Linked DNA regions of Macaca mulatta. The protein of the gene in region 1 purifies or fractionates together with the protein of each later gene. This does not show direct contact. Links are inferred from orthologs where the notes say so. Each region holds a gene or a part of one and is shown on either strand. Other genes may lie near its edges. The genes, in order: KDM6A and PAXIP1.

Region 1 (15,530 bases):
TGAGCCACCGCATCCAGCCTTAAAATGTGATTTTTTTTTTTTTTTTTTTTTTTTTTTGAGACGGAGTCTCGCTGTGTCGCCCAGCCCAGGCTGGAGTGCAGTGGCGCGATCTCGGCTCACTGCAAGCTCCGCCTCCCGGGTTCACGCCATTCTCCTGCCTCAGCCTCCCGAGTAGCTGGGACTACAGGCGCCCACAACCGCGCCCGGCTTATTTTTTGTAATTTTTAGTAGAGACGGGGTTTCACCGTGGTCTCGATCTCCTGACCTTGTGATCCGCCCGCCTCGGCCTCCCAAAGTGCTGGGATTACAGGCGTGAGCCACCGCGCCCGGCCAAAATGTGATTTTTAAATCATGTTTTCCTAAACAGAATTATAAGACGCCTTGCTAACATCTAAATCAAGAAATATCATCTCCAAGAAACACAATCAACAAACAATCCCCATCTTTAAAAGACATTCTAACTTGTGAATTGTTAAATTTACCTTTCTCATAAACTTTCAGAGTATTTCACATTTTTCTTCTCCCAAAGATGTTCCTGTGTTAGTCATCCTTAAACTTATTTCACCCCTCTCAAAGAACTTAAGTTCAACACGAGCAAGAAATATCTGTTATCTTCATACTAACTGCATAGAAGACGTGCACTTAGTGTACATTAATACACTGTTTTAATTTACTGTCATAATTTACAAACCAATGTGGAAAACTGATAAAATTATATGTGAAGTTTCAATATAAGTACTTAAGCCTGTCAATTACGCACTCATTAAATAAACTTCATTAATTAACTAATCCACAAATAATACATGTGAGTCCTAAACAGCCTAACCACCATTTCAGTTCTTAGACAAACTGGTGGTGTTTTAACATAAATTAGCTCTCTAGATAACACATTTCAAAAATATTATTAATAATGCAGTGTTATCAGTCATTAACATCAATTTCAAAGAGTTCAAAGTATCACAATGAATTTCAAAGTAAAAATAAACTTAACAGAAATCCTTTCAAAGATGCAGAACATTCGTACTATGTAAACAAAAACTAAATGTTACATAATTTAAGTCAGAGTAAGACTTACTCTGCAGCTAGCCAAGCAATGAACTTTCATTTTGGTTTAAAGTGCATGACCCATCACTTCACCTAAGTCACAAAAATTCATCTCTCAAGCAGTTTTCCTTAACAACTTAAGATACTGGCCAGGTGTGGTGGCTCACACCTGTAATGCCAGCACTTTAGGAGGCCACGGCGGGCGGATCACATGAGGTCAAGAGTTTGAGACCAGCCTGCCCAACATGGTGAAACCCCACCTTTACTAAAAACACAAAAATTAGCCGGGTGTGGTGGCAGGCACCTGTAATCCCAGCTACTCGGGAGGCTGAGGCCTAAGAATCACTTGAACCTGGGATGCCGAGGTTGCAGTGAGCCGAGATCACTCTACTGCGCTCCAGCCTGGGGATAGTGCAAGACTGTGTCTCAAATTTAAAAAAAAAAAAAAAAAAAAGTGGCCGGGCGCGGTGGCTCAAGCCTGTAATCCCAGAACTTTGGGAGGCCGAGCCGGGTGGATCACGAGGTCAGGAGATCGAGACCATCCTGGCTAATACGGTGAAACCCCGTCTCTACTAAAAAATACAAAAGAACTAGCCGGGCGAGGTGGCGGGCGCCTGTAGTCCCAGCTACTCGGGAGGCTGAGACAGGAGAACGGCGTAAACGCGGGAGGCAGAGCTTGCAGTGAGCCGAGATCCGGTCACTGCACTCCAGCCTGGGCAACAGAGCCAGACTCCATCTCAAAACAAAACAAAACAAAACAAAAAAAGTATCTAGAGGTGGCCGTCAAATGCTCTCTAGCTATTTCAATTTGTAATTGATTCAACAGAAAGAATTATTCACTGAAAAAGAAAACCAGAACTTTAAAAGTGCTTGTTTATGTATTGCTACAGTTCTAATTTGTGCCCAAATATGCAAACATGTTCTATAATCTTAGTATACCTTTATTACCAGGGACATATCAAAACTTTAGGAAATATCAAGTATATAAGACTTTGTCCACGTAAAAAATTAAGACTACAAGTGTTCCGAAGACAATCTTCCAAACTAGAAAACTCTTTAAAACATATTAAATTGAAGACATAATTTTCAAATACAAAGCATGACATTATTTCTATGGTTACTTTCTTTTTGGGTTTTCTTTCTTTTTTTTTTTTTTGGAGACAGGGTCTCATGACTTTTCTAACCAAAACACTAGCCATCTTTGGCACTGGAAATGAATTTACAGGTTGAGCATCCCCAATCTGAAAATCCAAAATCTAAAACTTGCTGAGTACCAACATGACACTCAAAGGAAACGCTCATTGGAGCATTTTGGAATTCAGATTTTCGGATTAGGGATGCTCAACTGGTATGTATTCTGCAAATATTCTGAAATCCAAAAAAATCCCAAATCCGAAACACATCTGGTTCCAAGCATTTTGGATAAAGGATACTCCACCTGTATCCCTTTAAGCGCCAGCAAACAAAAAGCACACATAAATGAGAAGGTTTTTAACCAACATCCAAATATTACAGTTTAAAAAAGCCACCTCTAGAACTGACCTAATAATTTCCCCCACTAAACATGCCAGCAAACCAAATTTAAGAAAATATGTTTCAATGGATCTCAAACTACTACTTCTATTATCAAAAAAATTTAAAACACCAACTGTTTTAATGCTAATATGTCCTAGGGAAAAAAAGCACATACATTTTTAAGTGATATACAATCTATAACTTCTAAGTATTTTGTATAATCTTTCTACTAACAGAATTACCAAAAAAAGTTCAGTAAGAGTATTTAAGAAAAACTTAAAAATAAGATACTTTGGTCAAAACTGTGTAAGTATTTTAGCAATAGTTCCCTGACACAGATAAGATTCCCCAGTCCCCAAGCATTATTACTATAACTATACTTGATAGTACTACTATATTTAAACTTACATTTATGGTATATATTCCTATATACTCTAACTCAAATCCTTACCCTACTTAAAAAAATTAACCCAAAAGGTTTTCAAAACTGTACTAAAAAAGTCACAAGTTAATTTATGTTAAAATATTTTGCTTACTTTTCAATAACTCCACTGAAATTTTAAAAAGAAGAATCTTGAATTATTACATTACCAGAAGATTAAGGGTCAGCATTCAAGAGCAAACTGTTCAAGATCACGCTATATTACAAGAACTCTAATTACGCAGGCTCTAGCTGTTCACAACCTTAAAAACATTACCAAAAAATAATAATATTATTAACTACTTTATTTTTTAATCCAAAACCCCAGGCATTGTATATCAAATGGCCAGCCTACAAACAAAAAATTATTTCAATGACTCTAATATAACTGAATCTGACAAACACATTTGGGAGACGATGAGAAATCAGTGGTCTGGATAAACTATCTGCACACCTGGAAAAAGGAATACACATATACATATGTACATACGTACACATACGCATACGTACACATATGTACAAACGCATACATATACGTATATGTATATATATCTATACATACACATGTGTATACATATATACATGTATGTATGTATACGTATGTATACATATACATATATACATGAATGTATCAAAGCACATGTATAAATACATACGCATACATATACACATACACATATACATACAATATAAATACATGCATATGTAGATATGTATATGTATATACATGTGCATGTGTACACATATACATATCTACATATGCACGTATGTACAAGTGCATACTATACATACATGTATTACATATGTATATATTATATATGTATGCATGTGTGTATATGTATATGCATATTACATATGCATGCATGTGTGTATATACGTATATGCGTATGTACACATATGTATGTGTATATATGTATATACGTGTGTGCACATGTGTGCATGTGTATATATGTATATGCGTATACACATATGTATATACATATTCACATATGTGTATACGCATATGCATATACATACGTAATTTGTGTATATATACGTATATATGTTAAGGGGCAAGTAAGAGACTCATATTTAATGCTTTCAACTTTCTAAAGCTTTTAGGTCAACAGTTTTTTTAACATACAAATGTGAATTTTAAAAACTTGAAAGAAAATCCAATAACATACATAGGAACAAGAATTTTTGAAAACAAGTAGTAATAGCTAAATTTCTGCCAGAAAGGAAAAAAGTTATACAAAATGCAGACTAAATTGGGGCGGGGGCGGGGGGGGGGGCATGGCAGGACAAAAATCAAAGCTAAAAAGGTAATTCTGGGAGTTATTCAATTCCATTATCTGCCCTCAGGAAAGTAGCCTAAACCTGCCCAGTAAAGAAAAACCAACTCTTAAGACTTTCAGAGAATAAGAATTCTGAATTGTGAAACCAACATAGCTCAACATTCCACAAAAAAATACTGCTTCGAGGACTGTTAAAAGAAGGATGAAACTAAATAATTCAATACTTCCTATAGCAGGACTCAAGCTCATTCACTTCATTCAGAATCCAATTCAAACAGAGGGTGCGAAGTTATATAATGTCAAGCTTTACATTACACACCCCACTGGTATGTTCAGACTCACAAAGATGCAATCAAGAACTATATGCGGTTGCAAGCACATATCAGAGAATGTTTTATTTTAATGTTAAGGCTGATGAATCTTGTCCTAAGCAGGTAGGACCTCACAAGCACTGAGTCTGAAGCAATGAAGATTTTTTTTTCTTTAGTTTAACAAACTACTTAATCATTCATCAAATCACCCCATATATCATGAAGCCCCCAAACATAGTGAAGCTTCACTAGTTTTTCTTTTTTAGCATGCATTCAAACATCAAGTAATGCACAACTTGCCAAAAATATTTGAAAATGGTTATTTTTTAAAATTTAAACTCGTTAGTGCATAATAACTGCAGAGTTTAATATTACAATCTGAAATCCAATGTTAAGCACTATTCACCGTGAATCTATCTGAATATGAGCATTCTAAGACATAAAATCAACTAGCATTTTACACATTCTCAACATAAAACATCGGATTCCATTTATTTTTTCATCACCATAAGCAAAAGCAATCGATTTGGCCAAACTTTTCCAAGTGAATTATCTTTGCAAGCAATTTTATCAATCCATGTTAGACCAGCAATAATCCCTCCAAAACAAAATAATGCTCTTTGAATTTAAATCATGTTTAATCTTTTGTAATGACAACTTTGACAGCAGTCAAATATTTTTAAATAAAATACTTTAAATACTCAAATTGGGAAAAAAAACTTTTAAGGCAGGAGACCAACAATTACTGACGCTTAAATCTTTCCAGAGCTAGTCACTGTTCATTTTTACAACAATAATTGCAATGAAGCCAATTAATACCTATGTAGTCAAAGTTTAATTCAAGTTTTCTGTATCGGTCAAAGGGGCCGGGCTTACTGAAAAGCATTATTTCCATTTAGTTTTCTGATCATTATATGCAATAAAACTCTTTATAATTACTTGGAAATAAAAACAAATTTGTAATTACAGATAAAAAAGAATTGATGACTCTGCTAAACCAAGCTACAGACAAAAATTCAGAACAACAAAAAAATCAACTTAAGAATAAAATGTTGGACTTACTTCAAACTTCCGTCTCAACTGTAACAATAAAGCTAGGTGTCAAATGCAAAGCTATGATTTCAGCTAGAAAAGAAAATGTCTAACGGATGCAATACCCATAGCACACACTCCAACTTTCACGGTCCCAATTACGAAGAAAGTATTCAAATATCATTGCAATCAGATTTTGGTCAGGAAATATAAATTGATGCCTAGAGACTGAGACTCCAGCCTTTGTTCAATAGCTTAAGGATGGGTAACTAAATGTGCTACAGGTTGATAAGCATTTACCAGGCTTATGCATGCTGCTTCCAAGCTTGTGAAAGGTACAAGAATTCTATATGCAAATAATCTTGGGTAATTTTTTTTTAAACACCACTGAGCTACACACTCCGAAGGAAAGGCTTATTCACGGCTACTATTTATTTCCATGTTTACCTCTACTCCCTCCCCCAAACCCCCCCCCCTTCACTTTCTCCTCCCACCCTGTCCCGCCATCTTGGGCCGATAGGAGCAGCCATTACTTAACTAAATGACAGTGCCAACAACTTTCCACACAAATAAACAGAGACTACACCCCGAATCCTCCCCAGTCTCCCCTGTCAGACACGCAGGAAATGAGGCTCCAGGAAGAGAACACATTTACAAATAACTACGGTATTTCTATGCCAAAAAGACCCAAAAAGTAAACAAGTCACCTAACTTCAGGTAACACACATTGCGATCGAGATACATGTCAACAGCCCAATGCAAACTCTTCACCGACCTAAACTCCGTGAAACTTCCCCCTTCTGGGAGCGGGGACACAAGAAAGCCTAAAACATTTGGTTAGCAGTAGGCATCACGAACAGCCTGCTTGAAGGAAAAGAATTTCTTTAAACCCGTGAGAGGCAAGTGAAGTCCGGAATTGGGGGAAATCTGAACACATTCACGATCCCTTGACTCTAAACATGCACCTCGAAGATCATCGGCCTATCCCCAAAAAGCTGTAAAATAGCAGGCAGTTTTGTCGACCCAGTTGAGCCCGGCCCCAAAGCGATCCCGTCTCTGTTCCTCCAGCTACAAGAGGAAAAGAGCAATTTAGCAAGGGAGCAAGCTGGGTACCCGTGGGTGGGGGGAGAGCAGAGGCAGGAAATAGTTTTCCGGAAGCCCCTCGACCATCGTCCGCGGCCACAATGAGCGCAGACCCGGCCGCGGGGCCCGGGGCGAGCGCGGCGCCGGCCGGGGAGACGGTGTCCGCGCTCCGACTCGCAGCTGCCTTACCTTGCCCAGTAGGGCCTTCGTCCTGGCGCCATCTTCATGAAACCTCACGAACCCGAAGAGGCGGCTGTGGGGAGAGACACAGGCTACTCGTTAACGCTCCGGGAACGCCACCGACCCGTCCCTGCCCGAGCCCGAGGCCCCGGCGGAGGCGGCGCGAAGAGCGCCAAACCGAGGTGCCCGCCCCGCCGCCGCCAGAGACAAGCCGCGCTCGGGCCTCCCGGGAGAGCGGCTACTGCCCGTCCGGAGCCGACCGGGCGAGTGACGGCGGCCCGTACCTGTCCAGTCCGCCGAGCGCCTCCCTCTCCTCGGCTGTCAGGCTGGGGGACGCCTCCTCGCTCTCGCCGCTCGCTTTTCCCGCCGCCATTTTCTTTTCCTCATCACCGAAAGCGGCGGCGGCAGCGGCGGCGGTAGCGAGCGACACTCCGCAGGATTTCATGGAAACGCAGCGAATTCACAACTCCAACGCCGACACCCCCCCTCGGACCGGGGCCCGCAATGACGCCCCCAATCTGCGCGCGGGACCAGCACACCAACTTTATCGCCGCCTCCTCCTCCGCCGCGGGCGGCGGCGACGAAAAATCCCAACGCGGCGGCGGTGAAGGCGGCGGCGGCAGGGGCTGCGAAGCCCCCGGGTCGGCAGCGGCGGCTTTCGGCTGTAGGGTCACATCGCGGGGTTGGGCAAGGGGCAGCCACGGGCGGGGACGGCGGGAACGGCCGGAGCGCGCAGGGCTGGGGAGCACTGGGGGGATTCGTTGGAGACACAAACTTCCCCGGCACCAGCACAAAGTTGTTGTAATTGTGTCACACAGCGAACCCCACGCCGCCGCCGTGACCCCCCCTCCCCGCCCGACTGGCGCCACCAATCGGCGCGGCCCGCACGACTCACGTGACCTTTGTTGACTCACGTCAGCCGTGGCTCCACTTAACTTGCTAGCTGCCCGAGCCCCGCCCACCGAGGCCGCCACCGAGAGGGGAGCGGGACGCAGGCCAATTCTGGCCGGTGGTTGGCTGCTGGGCGCGTCTGTCGGGGGAAGGGTTGTCACCGAGAGGGAGCTTCCTGTTAGGTTGTGCTGGTTAAATACACTGGGGCAGAGAATGGAGGGTCCGGGCCGTGTCACCTCGGGAACCACGGCAGGCTTTGGAGGGGGAGGGGAGTGGTGGGGAAGGGCGAGGTCCGGCAGCGTCCGCGGCGGGCGCGAGCGGCGGGCGAAGATGCCAAGGACGGCCTTTGCCTGCCTGGGAGCTCTGGGATGTGCCCAGACCGCGGCTCCGGCCGTCCCGCGCGCGCTCCAGGGGTCCCGGGACCCCACAGGGCCTGGTACAGGTCGCGTAGCCGGGAGGCGGTACACGGCCCTCTACCTCTGCCCTCCGAAGAAGGCTCAGACTTTGGCACTGCTGGAAATAATGGCCTCCGCGAGGAGTGCGCTTGGGGAGCGGCTGCCGGCCCGGTGCCCCGCGGTCCGGGTGCCGCCCTAGGCCAGACCTACGCTGGCAGCCCCGACCACCTCACCCGCGCCGAAAGTGAAGGGGGAAAGGCTCCCCTGACCCCCACCCATACGCCCCAGGCCAGAGGGAATGAAGAGTCGCCCGCGGGGCCTGGCTTGCCTACCGTGGCTCCCCACCGCCAAAGGTCTGTCTGTTGGCGGCACTTTGGGGCCAGATTTTCGTGCTGTGTTTACCCTGTGTCTTATCAGTAGTTCATTACAGTCTTACAAGAAAAAGCAATGAGAAATTGTTAAGCGGGATCTGCAGAATGTTGGGTTCTATTGCCGTGATTTCAGTGGAGCCTTCTTACAAAAGTAGGGACTGCTTGTGGACAGACCTGAGAGAAGATATAATTAAATCCTCATCACAGCTGGTGGCCCAGGAAAGCCTTTCTATCCCCCAAAACCTGCAGGTTTGTAACCCCTAGACAACAGTAACACTTTGTTCTGTCTCTCAGGTGCAGGGGAAAGGCTGTAGTCTGGCTTTTAATCTTTAGTATAAGTGGAAAAAAAAAAGAAAACAGGCCTTTCGACTACTCTTCTCAAAAGGCAAATTTATTTACTAAGCTGTATGTCATAACAGGGATAGGAAAAAATTAATGGACACGTAAAGACGATTCTCTTTATAAACGGAGTCTTGTATATTTTCAATAGGTTTTCCACCTGTAACCAATAAAAATGATATATTTAAACTTGGATTTCAAAATATGACAAAGACAATTCAGTGCTGACCCAGTAATTCCTACCAGTATTCAGCGGGAAGCTATGGGAATCCCAACTGATTTTGCACAGTTTTAAATTGTTCCCCTGAGACTAGTAACTAGACGAACAAACTGTAGTTTTGTATAGATTATAGTTAATGTTTAATTACTTCCTCTGAAACACCTTTCCCTTTATGATGCTCCATTTTGCTTGAATGAGTGTGTACAAAGGGCCAAATCTTTTCTACGTCTAAATTAATACATTGTTAACTTGGTCGCAAATGGTGACATTCAAAGCCAAGGAAATTTTGACCCCACTAATTCGCTCGCACACTCTCTCTCTCACACACACACACACACACAAACACACACACTTGCACAAACACAGATAGACATTTTGCTGGTATTTGACTATCTCCCTGAAGTTGGCAGTTCCGGACTCAGGTCCTTTTCAAGGATTATAAAGTTACCCAATCCCTGCCAAGCTCGGTGGCTCACGCCTGTAATCCCAGCACTTTGGGAGGCCGAGGCAGGTGGATCATGAGGTCAGGAGTTCGAGGGCAGCCTGGCCAATATGGTGAAACCCCATCCCTACTAAAAATACAAAAAACAAAATCAGCCGAGGTGGCACACGCCTGTAGTCCCAGCTACTTGGGAGGCTGAGGCAAAAGAATCGCTTGAACTCGGGAGGTGGAGGTTACAATGAGCCGTGATTGTGCCACTGTACTCTAGCCTGGGGGACAGAGTGAGACCCCATCTCAAAAAAAAAAAGCAGCCGGGCGTGGTGGCTCACGCCTGTAATCCCAGCAGCGCTTTGGGAAGCCGAGGCGGGTGGATCACGAGGTCAGGAGATCGAGACCATCCTGGCTAACACAGTGAAACCCCGTCTCCACTAAAAATGCAAACAATTAGCGGGCCGTGGTGGTGGGCGCCCGTAGTTAATCGGGAGTCTGGGGCAGGAGAATGGTGTGAACCCGGGAGGCGGAGCTTGCAGTGAGCTGAGATTGTGCCACTGCACTCCAGCCTGGGCGACAGTGAGACTCCGTCTCAAAAAAAAAAAAAGGGGGCCGGGCGCAGTGACTCACTCCTGTAATCCCAGCACTTTGGAAGGCCAAGGCGGATCACGAGGTTAGGAGATGGAGACCATCCTGGCTAACACAGTGAAACCCCATCTCTACTAAAAATACAAAAAATTAGCCGGACATGGTGGCGGTCGCCTGCAGTCCCAGCTACTCGGGAGGCTGAGGCAGGAGAATGGCGCGAACCCGGGAGGTGGCGTTTGCAGTGAGCCGAGATCGCACCACTGCACTCCAGCGTGGGTGCCAGAGCGAGACACCACTGCACTCCAGCCTGGGTGACAGAGCGAGATTCCGTCTCAAAAAAAAAAAAAAAAAAAAGGCTACCCACCCTCCACTCCTCAACACCTTTCCGCTATTACTATGTAATAGCAGAACAGCCAGGAGTGGATGCAATGGGTGGGAGTTGGAGTGAGGCAGACCTGGATTCGAATCCTTGCTCTACACAGGCTGTGTGACCTTGAGAAAGTTACCTGTCCTCTAGGCCAGTGTTCTATGTCTATTTCAACTGCAAAGATCTATCCTCCATCATCAAGCATGGGACAAATTTCATATGGTAACATAAGTCCTTGCATCATACACATGTTACATAGTGTGTTATCTGTCAAATGTATGTAAAATAGATATGGAGCCTATAAGGTTTAGATGTTTAACTGGAGAGAGAAATAGGGACATACAATAAATGATTTTATAATAAATTTCCATGAAAAGTGAATCTGTAAACCCCACTGGAAGGCAGAGTAGTGCAGCCAAAGGAGCATGAATCATAGAATCATACAGATCTAGGTTCAGATCCTACCTCTACCACTTGATAGCTAGGCAGACTTGAACAACTTAGTCTAATTTGAGCTTCAGTTCTCTCATCTCTGAAAAAGAGAAAATACAGCCACTTTATAACATTATTTTAGATGCCATAAGGTAGGTAAAGTGCCAGACACATAATATAGATTCAAAAACCTCAATAAAATAGGAAGGCTGGAATTTCCAAAATTTTCTCTTGCCTTCACAATCTGGGTTCTAAATTTATTATTACTCTACCCATCACTTCCTCCTTATCCCTCCACAACCTCACTATAAGCCCAACACATAAGCAGTCCTAAGTACTTTATAATTGAGGCATATAACCCCGGTATTGCTACATCTCTCATTTATTCTAAACTTCGGCCTTATAAGCCAGGCACGGTGGCTCACGCCTATAACCCCAGCACTTTGGGAGGCCGAGGTGAGCAGATCACCTGAAGTCACTAGCTCCAGACCAGCCTGGCCAACATGGTGAAACCCCGTCTCTACTAAAAATACAAAAATTAGCCAAGCGTGGTGGTACATGCCTGTAATCCCAGCTACTTGGGAGGCTGACGCAGGAGAATCGCTTGAACATGGGAAGCATAGGTTGCAGTGAGCCAAGATCACGCCATTGTACTCCAGCCTGGGCAACAGAGCAAGACTCCATCTCAAAAAAAAAAAAAAATTAATCCTTATATCATTTAGTACTGATTCTTTTTCATAATTGTAAATACACCAGGAGCTGGGGAAAGTTTAATCTGAATTTAGCAAATTAATACGACTAATATATGTATAGATAAATCAATATTATAAAATTATATAAAATCTAGCTAAGTCAGATTACAGACTAAGTACATAATTTGTAGCAGTATTATGTTAATATTTATGTAAGTACCATCAACTAATTAGAGGAGGAACCCATTTAAGTTATAGGAAAATAATGTGACTTTCTTTTAAACAACATAATATTTAACCTGAAGCACTTAGGAATATCTAGTGTGTTTATAATGTCAGTGCCATATAACCTTTACACATAATAAAAACTCACATAACAGAGTCATAGTTTATCTAATCTTATCAACAGAACTATACATAAATGTCACAATCAAAAATAGGTTCAAAAAAATTTACCAGTTCTTCCCATACTTACTTACCATTGTCGTAGAGACTATCCAACTGAAGCCAGAACACAAAAATGACAAAAATAAATATAGGGTTACGTTTGAGCAGAGACAGGGAGCCAAGTATAAATGGACTTTCAGTTATTATGAAAACTTCAGTTGTCAGAATAGAGCTAGGACTGCTAGGAGATGCCTGGACTCCTACCTTCACCAGGCTGTAATGAGGCACCTCACATCCCACCCCCGCCCCACAACACACACACACAACTGCAGTAGGCAGCCTGGACTTCCACCCAGCAGTTATGAGGGGTCAGTACCCCTCCCTGCTGAATTAATGTCAGAGTCGTCAAAACTTTCATCACTGCCCAGTGGTATACTACCACCCCGCATTGTATCAGTGGAGGGGAAGCAATGTAGGGAGCAATAATGAGGGACTCCTACAGCGCCCAGCTAGGGTGAATGGAGGCCTCAATCTAGGCCTAGCAGAGAGCCAGAACTCCCATCCCCACAAAGCAATAACAAGGAGACATTACACTCATTGTCAACCAAGATTGAGTGGGAAATCTGGACTTCCACCCACACCTGGCAGTAACAAGAGAGTGCCCCCTTTCCCCCCACCAGAGTAATGTCAGAGGAGGCCTGCTAAAATACAAGATTTTAAAAAGATCTAGAGTCCTGGCTGGGCGTGGTGGCTCATACCTGTAATCCCAGCACTTTGGGAGGTGAAGGCAGGTGGATCAACTGAGGCCCAGAGTTGGAGACCAGCCTGACCAACATGGTAAAACCCTGTCTCTACTGAATACAAAAAAAACTTAGCTAGGCGTGGTGGCGCATGCCTATAATCCCAGCTACTTGGGAGGCTGAGGCAGGAGAATCGCTTGAACCCCAGAGGCGGAGGTTGCAGTGAGGCAGTGAGCCAAGATTGTGCCATTGCACTCCAGCCTGGGCAACAGAGTGAAACTCTGTCTCAAAAAAAAAACTAGAGTCTCAGAACACTGCCCAAAATATCCAGGTTTCAATCAAAAAATTACTCATCGTAGCAAGACCCAGGATAATTTCAAATGAGAAAAGGTCAACAGATGCAAACACTAAAGTGAATCACATGTTTAAATTATCTAACAAGGGCTGGGCATGGTGGCTCATGCCTGTAATCCCAGCAATTTGGGAGTCCAGGCGGAAGGATCACCTGAGGTCAGGATATCAAGACCAGCCTGGCCAACATGGTAAATCCCTGTCTCTACTAAAAATACAAAAATTAGCTGCGCACTCCTGCAATCCCAGCTACTACTTGGGAGGCTAAAGCAGGAGAATTGCTTAAACCTGGGAGGCAGAGCTTGCAGTTAGCCAAGATCATGCCACTGCACTCCAGCCTGGACAACAGAGTGAGACTGTCTCAAAAACAAAAACAAACAAAAAAACTAAAAGACCTCAGCAGAGCAAGAGGAAGTTTCAGAAAAAAAAAAAAAAAAAAAAAAAGATGATACAGAGAAGAATTGTTGAGCAAGTGGCATCTGTGGCCTATTGTCAGGAGGAGATGTGCAAGCACTTCTGCCCACTGCATCTTGGTACCAGAATCTCCAAGGAAAATATATATAATTCAGCCAAGCCCCAGGTAGAATAACTTTACTCACATAGAGAAGACACACAGCAAGACCGGCTTCAGTAGTGGACATTAGTCCCCCCTGGCCAACAGGTCCCTCCAACAGCCAACACACTCCTCTTGTGCTGCAGCAGGAAGATCTCATCTGCTCCCTGCAGGGGACAGATATGCTAGCGGTGTGGCCCAGATGCCATGTGACACACACATTTAAGCGAAACAAAGGAGCACATATTGAGTCTAAAACAAAGGCAGATATTCCCACACAAGGTAACAAGTCTATTACAGGCTGTGAGAACTCTCCATCCCTCGGTAAGGAAGTGTTCCAGGCTCAAGGCCTATTCTCATGTGGCTGACGGGGGCAAAAGACTGCACCCATGGAATCAAATGAAAATTTTAGAACGAAAAAATAGAATGATCAAAATAAACATCACATATGGGTTAAATAGCAGAACAGTGGGAACAGAGGAAAGAATCCATGAACCTCAAGACAGAACAATAGGAAATACCTGGCTGAGCAGGGTGGCTCACGCCTGTAATCTCAACACTTTGGGAGGCGGAGGCGGGTAGATCACCTGAGGTCAGGAGTTCAAGACTAGCCTGGCCAACATCGTGAAACCCCCTAACAAGGGCTGGGCATGGTGGCTCACGCCTGTAATCCCAGGAATTTGGGAGACCAGGCGAAAGGATCACCTGAGGTCAGGAGATCGAGACCAGCCTGGCCAACATGGTAAATCCCTGTCTCTACTAAAAATACAAAACTTAGCTGCGCATGATAGCACACTCCTGCAATTTTTTGTATTTTGTAAAAATACAAAAATTAGCCGGGCATGGTGGCACATACCTGTAATCCCAGCTACTCAGGAGACTGCGGCAGGAGAATTGCTTGAACCCGGGAGGCAGAGGTTGCAGCGAGCCGAGATTGGGCCATTGCACTCCAGACTGGGTGACAGTAAGACCCTGTCTCAAAAAAAAAAAAAAAAAAGGACATACCCAATCTGAACAACAGAGAGAGAATATACTGAAAAAATAAATAGAGCCTCAAGGATCTGTGGCACTGTAACAAAACATGCAACACTTACGTCATCAAGTCACAGAAGGAGAGGAGAAATGGAGAAATTGGGCATAGCCAAAAAAAGTACGTCAAGAAATAATAGCTGAAAACGTCCAAAATTCACATCATCCTTGTAATTAAGCTACTCTTTTTTTTTTTTTTTTTTGAGACGGAGTCTCACGCTGTTGCCCAGGCTGCAGTGCAGTGGCGCGATCTCGGCTCACTGCAAGCTCCGCCTCCCGGGTTCCCGCCATTCTCCTGCCTCAGCCTCCTGAGTAGCTGGGACTACAGGCGCCCGCCACCGCGCCCGGCTAATTTTTTGTTTTTTTGTATTTTTAGTAGAGACGGGGTTTCACTGTGGTCTCGATCTCCTGACCTTGTGATCCGCCCGCCTCGGCCTCCCAAAGTGCTGGGATTACAGGCTTGAGCCACCGCGCCCGGCCGTAATTAAGCTACTCTTACTTGGAGAGTTGTATAAATAAATTCTATACAATAATCTAGAGTGATGAGTGCCATGACCTATGCCCAAATTTCTGTGGGAGCACACAGAAGAGGCATCTTTGTCAGCCTAGAGGGACCAGGGAAGTATCCTAGAGATTAGAAGATAGGCCGGGCGCAGTGGCTCACACCTGTAATCCCAACACTTTGGAAGGCCGAGGCTGGTGGGTCACCTGAGGTCAGGAGTTTGAGACCAGCCTGGCCAACATGGCGAAACCCCGTTTCTACTAACAATACAAAAAAAAATTACAAAATAATGAAATAATAAAATACAAAAAAATACAAAAATTAGCCGGGCGTGGTGGTGGGCGCCAGCTACTCGGGAGGCAGAGGCAGGAGTATCA
Region 2 (14,992 bases), on another chromosome or scaffold:
CCTCTCCTGAGTTTTTTCTAAAATGCATAATTGTAGGAAATGTGATAAAATTCACAGCTTTGTTTTGTGTGTGTGTGTTTCTGCTTTCCTCATAGGAGAAATACGAATGTGCTTTAAAGCGAGCAAGTATTAAAATTGTGACTCCTGACTGGGTTCTGGATTGCGTATCAGAGAAAACCAAAAAGGACGAAGCATTTTATCATCCTCGTTTGATTATTTATGAAGAGGAAGAAGAGGAAGAGGAAGAGGAGGAGGAAGTAGAAAATGAGGAACAAGATTCTCAGAATGAGGGTAGTACAGATGAGAAGTCAAGCCCTGCCAGCTCTCAAGAAGGGTCTCCTTCAGGTGACCAGCAGTTTTCACCCAAATCCAACACTGAAAAATCTAAAGGGGAATTAATGTTTGATGACTCTTCAGATTCATCACCGGAAAAACAAGAGAGAAATTTAAACTGGACCCCAGCCGAAGTCCCACAGTTAGCTGCTGCAAAACGCAGGCTGCCTCAGGGAAAGGAGCCTGGGTTGATTAACTTGTGTGCCAATGTCCCACCCGTTCCAGGTAACATTTTGCCCCCTGAGGTCCGGGGTAATTTAATGGCTGCTGGACAAAACCTCCAAAGTTCTGAAAGATCAGAAATGATAGCTACCTGGAGTCCAGCTGTACGGACATTGAGGAATATTACTAATAATGCTGACATTCAGCAGATTAACCGGCCATCAAATGTAGCACATGTAAGTCACTCAGAAAAAAATGTCAGTATTGGATTTTAGAATTGGATTTCACAGTCTATTTCAACGTAATTTATTGGTTTTGCTTTTTCAGACCAAATAACTTACAAGCAATATTTGTATGAGAACCTTTTTACTGTTGTGTGTGTGTGTGTGTGTGTATATATATATATTTATTTATTTCAGGGTCATTGAAAAAAAGGTAACTGTACGTTAAGTTGAAGATTTAAAGCAGGTGAGTAGAACCAGGACATCAGTGATGGCGTACTATCCCTTGAAGGGTTTCTACTCTTACTTAGTTTAAAATTAGCAATGGCACCAAAGAGAATAATGAAGTTTACCAGCTGTACCTGATTTGCTTATAATGAACTTCATGGTAGTAAGTAAATAGCACAAATTCATGCATTTGTTGAAGAAGCCTTGATTTCAGGTTACAGTTTATATAGCATGGAGCTTATTGATACAGAGTGGATCTTAAGTTTTGTTGCTGTTGTTTTTTGTTTTTTTGTTTTGTTTCGTTTTTGTTCTTGATTTTTTTGAGATGGAGTCTCACTCTGTCGCCCAGGCTGGAGTGCAGTGGTATGATCTCAGCACACTGCAACCTCTGCCTCCCGGGTTCAAATGATTCTCCTGCCTCAGCCTCCCGAGTAGCTGGGATCACAGGCATGCGCCACCATGCCTGGCTAATTTTTTTTTTTTTTTTTTTTTGTATTTTTAGTAGAGACAGGGTTTCACCATGTTGGCCAGGCTGGTCTTGAACTCTTGATTTCTAGTCATCCACCCACCTCGGCCTCCCGGAATGCTGGGATTACAGGTGTGAGCCACCATGCATGGCCTTAAAAGTTTTAAGTAGATATATTTCTATTTAAGACAGAAAGAAGGTAGTTGAGGTGGTATATTGGCCACTCTTTGCATTTTTCTGGGCACTGGAGATAAAATTGTAAATAAGAAAACCAATTTAGGTAGAGAAGACATACAGTAAGAGGAGAAATATGAACAGACGCACTGTTGATGGTGAAAGGTGTTTCGAAGAAAATAATCAGGGTCCCATAATAGCAGGTGAAGGGAAGGAGGCTGTTTTAGACGAGATGATCAAGAAGGACCTCAGGCAGGAGGTGACTCAGATCAGGGTTGAATGACAAGGAAAGGCCATGCAAAGAACTGAGGGCACAGAGTTCCCAGGCAAAAGGAAGACACAAATGTGGGCATGAATTTGCTGAGTTCTAAGAAAAGAAAGTTAATAAAATTTGAACTGCATAAGGTGAATGAGTTCTAGGAAGGATTTAAAAGGGGCCTTGCCATATAGGGCCATAGTGAGGAGTATGGACTTTCTTGGAAGGAAGCCACTGGGTTTTGAGTTGGGGTGAGATGCACTCTGATAGGTATTGTGTAAACAGTGGATCGTAGAGGGGCAAGAGTGAAGCAGAGAGGCCCCATAAGAGGATATAGAGGTGGAGTTTGAGAGAGAAAAAAAATGAATGGGAGGATCCAGCTTTCTGGCCTGAGCAAGTGAAGGAAGTTGATGCCGTTTCAGAGATAAGGGACACTGGGAAAGCTGCAGGTTTGAAGAATCCAAGTTTCTTTTCAGATGTGTTGGGTTGGAGGTATCTGATCCATGCAGGGGCTGTCTGCTACACGGTGGAACCAGAGGAAACAAGGCTGACTGAAGCTATGGAGGTAGATGTGAGGATGTATAGTAGGCGGGACAGAGCAAGAGGAGGGTCTGGGACCAGGTCCTGAGGAGCCCCACCATTGAGAGCCAGCTGGGCTGTTCCATCTGATGGTGACGCCCCATCTGCCGCTTCACCTTGTTCTGGACACTTTCATTTAATAATAACAGTTCAAAGTCCCAGAAAAATGGCTCTGCATATAGGAACAGCCTGAAGCAGGATCCAGTATTCTCCACATCCACTTTCAGTAGAAAGGCTTGATGTTGATGAAGTGGGGAAATTCAATATGGCGTAGGTGTAAGGTGATGTTGACAAACAATGACCATTTTATTGGGTGTGATAATAGCAGTGGTTTAAAAAGTGTGTAGAAATGCTGTGGGACAGACAAAATCCTTGTCTCACCTCCCCTCCACCTAAGCAGCAGGTATTAGTAGTACACGATTCTTGGGATGATGGCAGCGGTTGGCTGGCATCCAGAATAAGGTAGAGGCAAACATGCCCTTTAGATGTTGGACAGCAGACAGTTAAGATGGTGGGGGAGAAGATGAGTAGAGAGAGAAGATCATCGGGTTTGAGGAGATTAGATTTTCAAATAGTTGATTAATAGATAGGGAAGACATTCTTCGTACACATTGGGTTTCTGGCTTGAGAGGTGGGTACCTGATAAAATGCCTAGCTGGCATTCCTCAAGTCCTGGGTGGTGACAGTGCCTTGTAGCTGAGCAGCAGCTGCCTGTTAGAGAGGGGTTCTCGGGCCTGCTTCGGTGCCCACCACTCCATGCTACCTTGCTGGGTCCTGGAGGAAAACAGGCCTGCCACTGACCATAGGTCTTGGGGGTGGTTGGGAATGTGTGGCTGAGGAAATGGGGAGAAGGCCACCAAGATGAGGAGGTCCAAGAGCTTCTAGGCCAGGGATTGTCCAAATGGGTCCCCATGAGAGCGCTGGGGTCAGCCAAGTTTAGGGAAAAGGTAGATGCACAGAAGGAGCAGCTCCAGCACCGCCCAGTGCTGAGGTTTCTGGCCCTGGTCTCTGCGCATCCATGTCCAGGCAGGTGGGCGGGATAAAGCCACAGGGCACAGTCTCAGCCACAGAGCAGCAAAGTGATGATCACACAGTCGTCCTGAGAACCAGAGGATGTCGTGACAGGTAGAAAGTAAAGGCCATAAAGAATGATAGGCTAGAGACAAAGAGAATTCTAGCATTTTTGACCTCAGACATGAGAAGAGTGATGATACTGCTGAGGTGGAGGAATTGAGGTGACCAGTCCTGGCAGGAAGACTGGGACCACACAGTGGACCTGTCCTGTCAGCAGTGGGGTATGTGGGACATGGGCCATAAAGATCTCTCATAGGGTTGGTGTGAGGAATCATGGATGAAGCCTCTGGCACTTTGAGAAATGCTACTTTCTCACTTCCTTTAGGTGAGAAATTATGGACAGAAGTCATCCATTTGAAATAGGAAATGTTCTTTGCTCTTCATTTATTTGTGGTATCAAAAAGTGTTGGTCAGTTACTGCTGGTTAGTTACTACTTATTCCTAATATATATGTTTTGGTTGTTTTTTGAGACAGAGTCTCACTCTGTCGCCCAGGCTGTAGTGCAGTGGTGCGATTTCTGCTCACTGCAACCTACACCTCCCTGGCTTAGGCGATTCTCTTGCCTCAGCCTCCTGAGTAGCTGGGATTACAGGTGCCCATCACCATGCCTGGCTAATGTTTGTTTATTTTTATTAGAGATGGATTTTTGCCATGTTGGCCAGGCTGGTCTTGAACTCCTGACTTCAGGTGATCCGCCCACCTCAGCCTCCCAAAGTGCTGGGATTATAGGCCTTATGTTTTTCAAATACAATGGATGTTGGTTTAAATATAATCTTCCGGCCGGGCATGGTGTCTCAAGCCTGTAATCCCAGCACTTTGGGAGGCCGAGATGGGCGGATCACGAGGTCAGGAGATTGAGACCATCCTGGCTAACACGGGGAAACCCTGTCTCTGCTAAAAAAATACAAAAAACTAGCCTGGCGCGGTGGCGGGCGCCTGTAGTCCCAGCTACTCGGGAGGCTGAGGCAGGAGAATGGCGTAAACCCGGGAGGCGGAGCTTGCAGTGAGCTGAGATCCGGCCACGGCACTCCAGCCTGGGCGACAGAGCGAGACTCCGTCTCAAAAAAAAAAAAATATATATATATATATATATTTTTTTTTTTTAATAAATAAATATATATATATTTATTTATAAAATATATAAATAAATATATATATAAATAAATAAACTTCCTTAAGTTTGTATTTGGATATAGAGACAAAATAATTTACTTTGAAACGGAAAGAATTGACTGCAGTAGGGGTTTGAGCACATCTCTGCAGTGGAAATTGTCCTTAGGAGATAAATTTGGTATACTCAGCTGTGTGCTCTAGCGGTGGAAAACGGAGAAGGCTCCATCCATTTCTAGTGAGTGAGTGGATTTGGTCACTAGTGAGAATCGCAGAGGTTTCTGAGAGACTTTCGTCAGTGCAAGAGAACATAAGGACATTTTACTGCTAGATGTGAGGAAAATGACTTTTTGAAACTTTAGAAATATGAGACAGATTTAGTTGAACTAATGTTGGTTGGGGGGGCGTAACTTACCATCAAAATCCTGTTTAAATTGCAAATTTATAGTGGTTAGAAGCCATGTGGTGTGTATCATAATGCATTCTGTATATGGAATTCAGTAACTCAGTATTAATGTAGTATAAATGAGGATTATGACAGTTGTAATGGAAAAATTTTAACTTGACATTCATTCAGAATTGTTTGTAGCATAGCACAATTATGTAATTGAGCAATTAAGATTTGTTTTCATACGTTCTTCAGGACTAACGTGTTTCCAGCCAGAGGCAGATCAGATGGTTGAAAAAGTGATCAGATGAATGTGGTAGGGGTTTTGGGTGGCATCTCGATGGCTGGTCTTGCAGATGCCTCCTCTTCAGTCAGGCCTGCACCTCTCGCTGCCTCAAGTGGAAAAGGTTCCAGGCCAATGGCTGTCTTCATTTCTAGCCGGGACTCTCATCCTGAATCTCCATCTGTTCTTCTCCCTTAATGGGCTGGGTTAGCAGTGGACGAGGACCCATCTTAACTGAAGCCTGTAGTAGAAACAGCTCCTGTCCCACCCAGGCCTCCCTCAGCCCTCTGAGATCAGATGGAGCACTTTCTGCAGGCAGCAGACCCTGCTGAGTCCTCGTGGCCAATCTGAAAAACAGGAGCCTCTGGCCTCTGTTCTGTCCTGATGTCTGCTGCTGTGTTTGTCTAGGTCCTGAGCTCCCTTTCTCCTGGAGTTGGCAGGTGTAGAGGCGCGGGGAGCAGCATGTGGTGAATGACTGGTTCAGCCCTGTCCACCTGCAGATGGGCATTTATTTCTTTACTATCCCTCAGAGTTCCATGGGCTGTTTACATATGAGGGTAAAAAAGTAATATGTGTACAAAATTCAAAAATTCAAATGATACCAAAGGACAGAGTGAACAGTTAAACTCTCCGCCCCCTCCCACCCCTCATTGCTGTTTACCTTCTCAAGAGGCAGCTGCTATTTCCAGCAGTTTGCCGTGTAGGGCTCATGGCTGGTGCCCACCAGGCAAGCAGGTGCCCCACACATGCATGCTTCTCTAGGGGGTGTTCGCACAGCACCAAATGCTGCTGGGCTCCGGGGGATGGCATGTGATGGGGTGAATTTTCCCCTCTTCTTTTCTGGATTTTTAAAAATACTTTTAAATATGGAGATGAAACAGTTGTCTTATTATTTTGTTTAAAAGACATTTTTCTGCTTAGAGTTCCACTCAGGTGTTTCTGAAGTCTTGAATCTCATAGAGATGTTTCATACATAAGGTGATTCTAAAGATGGTTGTACCTAAGCTCTTGATTTTGACTTATTTCAATTCTAAACACAATTATTTATCACTAAACCCAAAATCTGTTACCCTTGCAGGTCATATAACCTTTGCAATTTGGAGTCTGTTTAAGTGAAAGATACATGTTAGAATATGTTTGAGATTTTGTTATAGTTCTGATATGTGTTAAAATCAAATTCCTAGAATTTTGTTTACATTTTAAATGCTTTTATTAGGGTTAAAAGTTATATGGATTGAGTTTAGTAAAATCTATTTTTACTGATTTCCATGACCATAAGAAGTTGGTTTCAAATTTTTGTTGCTTGAGCATGTGGAACAAAATTCATTGTATAACATGTATCTTTTGTTGTATTCAGTACACTACAGGATATTAAAAAAATAACTTGCTCTTCTTGGTGGGCATCTGCTGGTCACCGTCCTTCTCCTACTCCTCAGTGTACGCAGAACTCTCAGCCTATTCCCTGTCATTGTGAAGCAGAAAGAGCTAGAAAACAAAGAGTCTGGTTTGAATTCTTTTTTTCTAGCTTGAAATATTTTTGTCCCACATGAAGAACTCAGTCATTTTTGAGGAAGCATCATTTCCCAACTCTAATGATGAGTTCTTAGTTGGGAGAAACATCACCATTGAAACAGCTCTGGTGGTGTCTTAGCTGGCCTCCTTTTCTGAAGAATGCCAGTGTACATAGCAAGTTGACAGTGGAGCGAAGGGCTCTTGGAGTCACAGCTTAGGTCATGCTGCTTTCATCAGGAAGGTGATTCACTGAGAACCTTTCTTTACTAGACTCTGGGCTGTAAGACAAGAGGAAATGGGAAGTGGCAGCTGTGGCGAGAAGGTTTGAGGTGAAGCTGAACCTGATTACCAGATGCTTTCACCACCTGTCATTCCTCAGTGCATTCTTGGGCCAGGAGAGGGTCTGCGGAGCTGATGTGGGCGATGGGCAGTGGAGAGGCGCTGCGGACAGTGCAGGGAGCACCGAGGCTTAGCCTCCAGTTGTGCACAGGACTCACACGCCTTGCTCTGGCAAGCACATCAGCCGTCTGAGTCTTTGTCACTTTAATTCGTTAGTTTACTCCATTTTACTAACGTAGTTTCAAATTTTGGTGGTCTCAATATGTGAATGTACTTTATGATATTGGTGTTACAAAATAAATACAAAAGAAAATGCAGTATTATTTTGAAGTTTCCAGTCATTTGCTGTGTCTGCTTGGTTGAATATTGTTAATAAATAGGATGGTATTATTCTCATGACTAAGAAATTATCATTCGTCTGTTTCAGGAACTATTGATAATGTTTCACCTAACTTGTTTTGTAGATCTTACAGACGCTTTCAGCACCTACGAAAAATTTAGAACAGCAGGTGAATCACAGCCAGCAGGGACATACAAATGCCAATGCAGTGCTGTTTAGCCAAGTGAAAGTGACTCCAGAGACACACATGCTACAGCAGCAGCAGCAGGCCCAGCAGCAGCAGCAGCAACAGCACCCGGTTTTACACCTTCAGCCCCAGCAGATAATGCAGCTCCAGCAGCAGCAGCAGCAGCAGCAGATTTCTCAGCAACCTTACCCCCAGCAGCCACCACATCCGTTTTCACAGCAACAGCAGCAGCAGCAGCAAGCCCATCCGCATCAGTTTTCACAGCAGCAGCTACAGTTTCCACAGCAACAGTTGCATCCTCCACAGCAGCTGCATCGCCCTCAGCAGCAGCTCCAGCCCTTTCAGCAGCAGCATGCCTTGCAGCAGCAGTTCCATCAGCTGCAGCAGCACCAGCTCCAGCAGCAGCAGCTCGCCCAGCTCCAGCAGCAACACAGCCTGCTCCAGCAGCAGCAGCAGCAGCAACAGCAGATTCAGCAGCAGCAGCTCCAGCAGCAGCAGCTCCAGCGCATGCACCAGCAGCAGCAGATGCAAAGCCAGACGGCGCCACACTTGAGTCAGACGTCACAGGCGCTGCAGCATCAGGTTCCACCTCAGCAGCCCCCGCAGCAGCAGCAGCAACAGCAGCCACCACCACCACCACCTCAGCATCATCAGCTTTTTGGACATGATCCAGCAGTGGAGAGTTAGTAATGGAGATTTTTTTTTTTTCCCTCTCTCCTAAAAGTCTTGTACTCACATAAATGCTTTGAGAGTGTTTGAGTGTGGGGTAAGGATTCATGTCAACACAATTATTACAACATGGAGAGTGTGAGTCTCATACCTAACAAAGAATATCGTTACCATGGGATAATTATGCTTTCTTTTGTACTTTGGGACATCATATGCTGAAGTGAATATTGGTGTCCTGTAGAACACCTAGGCTGCCACAGGGACTCCTCAGGGTATTTAATGGCCAGGCATAAGTTACGTTGGTTTTAGTTTTTAACGATTATTTGATGTAGACAGATAACTAGTATCTTTTTAGCAATATTCCCCATGCACTCTGATTACTGGTAGATATGTCATGGTCAAGACTGATTAACATAACAGAATCACATTGCAAGGCACCACTGTTTAACTTTTGTGCAAGCATATTCATAGGGTTTTAATTTTCTTTTTCTTGTATAATTTTACCCTAGTTCCAGAAGAAGGCTTCTTATTGGGATGTGTGTTTGCAATTGCGGATTATCCAGAGCAGATGTCTGATAAGCAACTGCTGGCCACCTGGAAAAGGGTGAGATTGTGCCTGGAGGAAGGACGACTGTATCTGAAGATGCTTCTTTCTTATGTAGATGTAACTATGTTCACTGAGCTGCATTCACTGAGCTGCACCTGCATGTGTTATAAATGTGTGATGGGCATTTTGATTAACATTCCCTGTGGCCTCAGGCACAGCACTTTTCTGGGCATCAGTTTTCTCAGCTGTTAGATGAAGATGGTAGACTTCTTATTTTTTCAGCTTGGAAATTCCAAGGGGCACTAATTATATGTGTATAATGGGGACGATGGGAATAAGTTCAGGTTTTTGGTGTCCTGGGAGAGGGACCATTAATTTGTGTGGATCTCAGTCATTTCTCTTTCTCTAGAGGTAACTGTTAGAAAATCCCAGAATCTCTAGGACCTCAACTTCTTCCAGCCCAATTGTGAAACTGGAGTTAATTTAATTATTTATTATTTTGCATGGTGGCCTTTAAAGAAAAGAAATACTTTTTCTTGCATTCCCCAAAACAAAACTGAGTCAAAAAAAATTTTTTTTATAAAAACTGAGTTTAAATGTACCTCTCATATATCTTGAATGTGCTTCACTATAAACATCTCTAGTGCTTAAACCCCACCTGTGTGCCAAGCATGCTGCAAGACCTAGGGAATATGTGGGAAATCACAGACGGAGAAAACCAAAGAGCAGTGCGAGAGGCAGCCACACAGCTAAGCAGAGGCAGGGTGGCAGATGCAGGCTGTTGTGAGAGCCTGAGAAAGGACCTTCACCCATCATGTTGTGGGGTGATGTGTTAAGAAAAGACTACTGGGGCCGGGCGCGGTGGCTCAAGCCTGTAATCCCAGCACTTTGGGAGGCCGAGACGGGCGGATCACGAGGTCAGGAGATTGAGACCATCCTGGCTAACATGGTGAAACCCCGTCTCTACTAAAAATACAAAAAAAATTAGCCGGGCGAGGTGGCGGGCACCTGTACTCCCAGCTACTCGGGAGGCTGAGGCAGGAGAATGGCGTGAACCTGGGAGGCGGGGCTTGCAGTGAGCTGAGATCCGGCCACTGCACTCCAGCCTGGACAACAAAGCCAGACTCCGTCTCAAAAAAAAAAAAAAAGAAAAGAAAAGACTACTGGGAGAGGTGATTCCTGAACTGCTTATTATAGGATGAGTAGGAGTGAGAATTAGAGGGGAGGATTTTCCAAATGGTGTAGCACGGCCAAAGGCATGTGATTGGGGAAACTGACAGGAGGGTGCAAAGGACGGTGCCTCAGTGGGATCCACAAGGCAGGGGTTGGGGCAGGAGCCAGGGCTGGCATGTCTTCCAAGACCTTGTTGATGCGCCATGTGGTGGAGTTTAGATGCAGGTGAAGTGATCAGCTGTGCATTTCAAGTAGTAAAGGGTTGAATCTGAAGGTGACCAGAGAGATGACTGTGGTTGGCTGAGGAAAGAGGCGGATGGCATGTGCTAGGGGGAGGGAGGAAGGGGGCAGTTCTGAGAAGGACAGCAGCAGAGATTTTTTAAAAGTCAGAAGTGTTTGAAGGCAGCACTGAGAAACTGTCTTGAGAAGTACGACAAAACTCAAAGATACCAAAGTTAGTGGAGGAAAGTTTGGGTTTTTTGTCTTGTTTTCAAGTTAAGGATTTATCCAAGAGGTCTAACATTAAATAGGAGCTCGGGAACAGAGAAAATGAAGGCAAGAACGTTATGAAAGAAAATACCTTTGCAGCTGAAGGCCATGTGCCCTCAGATAGAAAAGAAATATAAGGAGAGCCGTGATAAGGCAACTGGGAACGTTCACAATGCTGGTAGAGAAAACTGTTTTCTCTCAAAGACAAGCTCACTGGAGGGGAAACGTGGACAGATCAGGAGTCAGGGCGATTTCGGGAGCCTCCAGTCCAGTGCGCGGGGGCCAGCAACGGAGCAGCTTCTTCCATTTTTGAGGGAAAATAATTTCCAACCTAAAATAACCTATAGAGCCTGTCAGTCCTAAGACTATGGAAGGAGGATATTTGTACACTAATGGTCGAAAATGTACCTCCGTTATATTCTTCCTTAGGAAGCCACTATGCCAGCAGAGAGTGAGACCTGGTAGCCAGGAAATGAGGCATTTGACTCAGAGATGACAAGAGAGTTCCTAGGATGGAGGTGAAGGGAAACGCTAATAGATGAGAAAGTAGGTGTAGAGAGAACTAGACCTGGGACCGGAAGAGAGACTTCCTGGAGGAGCAAGCAAACAAAAACACTGGTGGATTCAGGAGAGACATGTACGGCTGACCCCTGAACAGTGTGGAGCCTAGGGGTGCTGATCCCCATGCAGTCAGAGATCTATACATCACTTTTGACTCCCCAAAGCCAGAATTACTAATAGCCTGGTGTTAACCAGAAGCCTCAGTGATAAACAGTCAATTAATGCATATTTTGTATATGTATTACCATATTCTTACAATAAAGTAAGCTAAATAAAAGAAAATGTTATTATGTTATTAAGAAAATCATACGAAAGAGAAAATATAAGTTACAGGAGACTCGCACTGTCAATTCCACCATATTCAATGACTAAGTCTAGACCATATTTAAGACTAGGGGAGTATACAGTAATTTGCAGACATACTATAAAACCGCCACATGTACATTTTTCATAGAGTTTGGGAATGAAATAGTGAAAAGTATATAGAAAACTAAGAAAAGGGCAAATTCTGGGGGGCTGGGATAAGGAAGTGATTAGCACCAGGGAAAACCAAAGTTTATACCAGAAAGGAACTCTCATCTTAGGCTGCCATATTAAGCCATGTGGCTGGGCTGCGTTAAGTCACTGATGACTGATGTAAACAAGAGTCTGGCTATAACCAAATCAGGAAGGCTTGAAGAGTGTGTGTTACGGTGGGGAAGGGTGTGCACTGTAGGAGGTCAGTAGATGGCCACGTAAACTAGAGAAAAGGAACTAATGTAAAGTGTTAGTAGAATATATTCATACTTTCGGAAGAAACAGCTTCAAGTGCTGAACGTGCTTCCGGGGAGTGAAAAGCAGGGATTGGCGAGGAACCTGTGGTTCTGTCCTGTGCCTCATTAAACTATATTTATGCTTAGCCGGAGGAAAAATAAACATGTACATCTTAAAAGTAGGAAGTGAAGCAATCGGTTTTTTTAGGGGGCAGGTCTTTTTAAAGTTTATATTTCACCCAATAGGCTGTCAAATTCTCCTTTTTCCGTGTACAATATTTTGAGTTCTGAAGAATGCCCGAGGTCGTGCAGCCATCACAGCCCGGATGCAGAGCAGTTCCTCCTCCCAGAAAAGCAGATCTGTTTTGAGAAGCAACTGTTGGGATTTACTAATTTCATTCTGATTTGTGTTTTATTTCCCTTTTCGAGGGAGGTGGATCTGCCCACCATAGACCTTTGGCAGTATCTGAAGATCTTTAGTAGTCGCGGCTAGGGGGCTGCTGCTGGCATAGGGTGGGTAGAAGTTGGGGACACTGCCAGACATCCTCCTCTATACAGGACAGCCCCCACTTACCAGAACCCCCTGGTCCAGAGTGGCAGTTATGCTGAGCTTGAGAAACCCTGGAGTGCATTCCATTTTTCTTCTCTTGTTTCCTGGAAATTCAGATTAAATTTAGAGTACTGGAGTTCATTTTCATTATATGGTGCTGGGTAGAAAAGTCTGTAAATAGAACTGTTACATGTCCTTAATACTTTGGGGAAATACATGATATAAATGTATGATAGAGTCTTTTAATAGCTGCCTTATTTGAAATTGGAATTCTCCTCTATTCTGAGTGATCGAAATTGATGACTGCGTTGGTCGGGTCTTTGTGTGTAGATAATCCAGGCACATGGTGGCACTGTTGACCCCACGTTCACAAGTCGATGTACGCACCTTCTCTGTGAGAGTCAAGTCAGCAGCGTGTATGCACAGGTAAGGAAAATAACCTTAGCAGCGACGAGGAGCAAGGTCTGGCATTTTTTATATGCAATCTTAAATGCTGGTGATTGATTGTTATTTTTGGAAAGGGGTTTTTTCTACCTCTGAAGATAGGAAAATTGCTTCTTCCTGTGATCAGTTCTTTGGTGGGATTGATACCTTTTGTGGGCACCATTGTCTTTAAGCGATGGAGATAGAAAGGGATGTTCCTAGGTGGTGGTAAGAAAGGGCGGACAGGAGGCCGAGGTGAGCAGATCACGAGGGCAGGAGTTTGAGACCAGCCTGACCAACATGGTGAAATCCCGTCTCTACTGAAAATACAAAAATTAGCCGGGCATGGTGGTGTGCACCTCTAATCCCAACTACTCAGGAGGCTGAGGCAGGACAATGGCATGAACCCGGGAGGCAGAGGTTGCAGTGAGCCGAGATTTCACCACTGCACTCCAGCCTGAGCGACAGCGAGACTCTGTCTCAAAAAAAAAAAAAAAAAAAAAAAAAAAAAAAAAAAAGAAAGGGCGGACACTCCCTGCAGTCACCATTCCAGCTGCTCTCTGCACAGTGAAGGGAGGCAGGATTCCGTACTGGTGTGTGACTCGCACAGAAGCGTGCAAAGACAGGTCCCTTACAGAGCTTTTCTAAACCTGCCGGGATGTGGGCTTTCTCCTGATACTACCTTCCTGTGCTCTCTGAAGTTTCACTTCTTTTCAAAAAATTATGCTTATTGTAGACAGATTATGTATATGTGACAAATGACCTCCAAGACACCCCTCTTAAAGAGGATAGCCGTTCACAGGGTCTGTTTTTCCAGTAAAAATGTGGAAATACTTCTGAGACTTTTTTTGTTTTCCTGTGGTTCATCTTAGGTGGATGGTTTTTTGTATTTTTTCTTATGTGCAGCCCTCTGTGTTCTTACAGGGCACTTATAACTTTGGTGGTCCTACGTGTAATTTCACTCATCACTAACGTTATTTTTGAGATTGTCGTAGAATTTGTTGCTTTTGTCCTCAGTCGTAGACTCTTGTTTGCAGATGGATAGTAACATTTTTAGGTTGTATTTCAAATAACCAGCTACATGGTTTTAATTTGTTACTTCAATCAAGTGCTAGATGTCATGAAATTCTTTTATAGGGCTTCTAATGAAAAGGGCATTGTAGTTATACAACCATAGAATTTTCTTTAATCCTGCAGCAGAAAAACAAAAACAACACACCTATAATTTTATGTTTGACAGGCAATAAGAGAAAGAAAGAGATGTATCACTGCGCACTGGTTAAACACAGTCTTAAAGAAGAAGAAAATGGTACCACCGCACCGAGCCCTTCACTTTCCAGTGGCCTTCCCACCAGGAGGAAAGCCGTGTTCACAGCACGTAAGATAGAGTCCTCGCGTTCCATTTGTTAAGCCATCCTTCGACTTTGGCGAGTAATCACTTGCTAGCACTTACCTGAGGCTCCCGCGCTGGCTTCCGAGTCAGAGCTTCTCTGTGTACTTTTGCCCGTTTTATAAGTGCCTGCTCATAAGAAATAGCTTGCTTTCTTTTAGTTCCTTGTAACAGTCACAACGTTCTGCACATAGTAGATATTTAATGGATTCTCCCGTCTTTGACACTATTTAAAATCCAAAAATAAATCAGATGTCTTGTACCAAAGGCAGCCCCTAGTGGGTGGAACTAATCAATAGTTGTGGGTCCTCCCACCCAAATGATCTCAGCATTTCATGTTCATTCTTTTTCTTCTTCCCCGTGAGGGATGTGTGTGTAACCTTTTGACCATTAATACAGTTCTGGTCTTGAAAGTTTTAGAAATGATATTACCAAATGTGTTCCATAATGCCAAAAAAATAGTGAAAAAATATATGTCAACTAAGAAGTAGAAGAAATAGTACTTGGTTTTGTTTTTTTGTTTATTTTGTGTTTATCTTATTTTCTCTCTTTTTTTTTTTTTTTCTTAGATTATTTCTGTGACTGGATTTGTTGATAGTGACAGAGATGACCTAAAATTAATGGCTTATTTGGCGGGCGCCAAATATACGGGTTACCTATGCCGCAGCAACACAGTCCTCATCTGTAAAGAGTAAGTAAATTTTTGAAACCGTTTTTAATCATAAATTTACACACAATATAGTGGCTATTTCAATAGTTGTGCATTTTTTAGTGTGCCATAGTTT

What was found.
Region 2: the proteins of KDM6A (region 1) and PAXIP1 purify together in Homo sapiens (affinity purification with mass spectrometry; 6 studies listed by BioGRID and IntAct, with this or other methods). This does not show direct contact. The link is inferred for Macaca mulatta from reciprocal best matches to the Homo sapiens genes KDM6A and PAXIP1.

Annotation. Positions count from the first base shown.
Region 1 is NC_133426.1:44,836,051-44,851,580, reverse strand, and holds the start of KDM6A (lysine-specific demethylase 6A), read right to left. Parts: upstream 7,667-15,530; 5' UTR 7,309-7,666; coding exon 7,148-7,308; intron 6,937-7,147; coding exon 6,873-6,936; intron 1-6,872. UniProt on the Homo sapiens protein: Histone demethylase that specifically demethylates 'Lys-27' of histone H3, thereby playing a central role in histone code. Demethylates trimethylated and dimethylated but not monomethylated H3 'Lys-27'.
Region 2 is NC_133408.1:194,438,347-194,453,338, reverse strand, and holds part of PAXIP1 (PAX-interacting protein 1), read left to right. Parts: intron 1-95; coding exon 96-731; intron 732-7,590; coding exon 7,591-8,335; intron 8,336-8,831; coding exon 8,832-8,926; intron 8,927-12,724; coding exon 12,725-12,820; intron 12,821-14,057; coding exon 14,058-14,195; intron 14,196-14,776; coding exon 14,777-14,898; intron 14,899-14,992.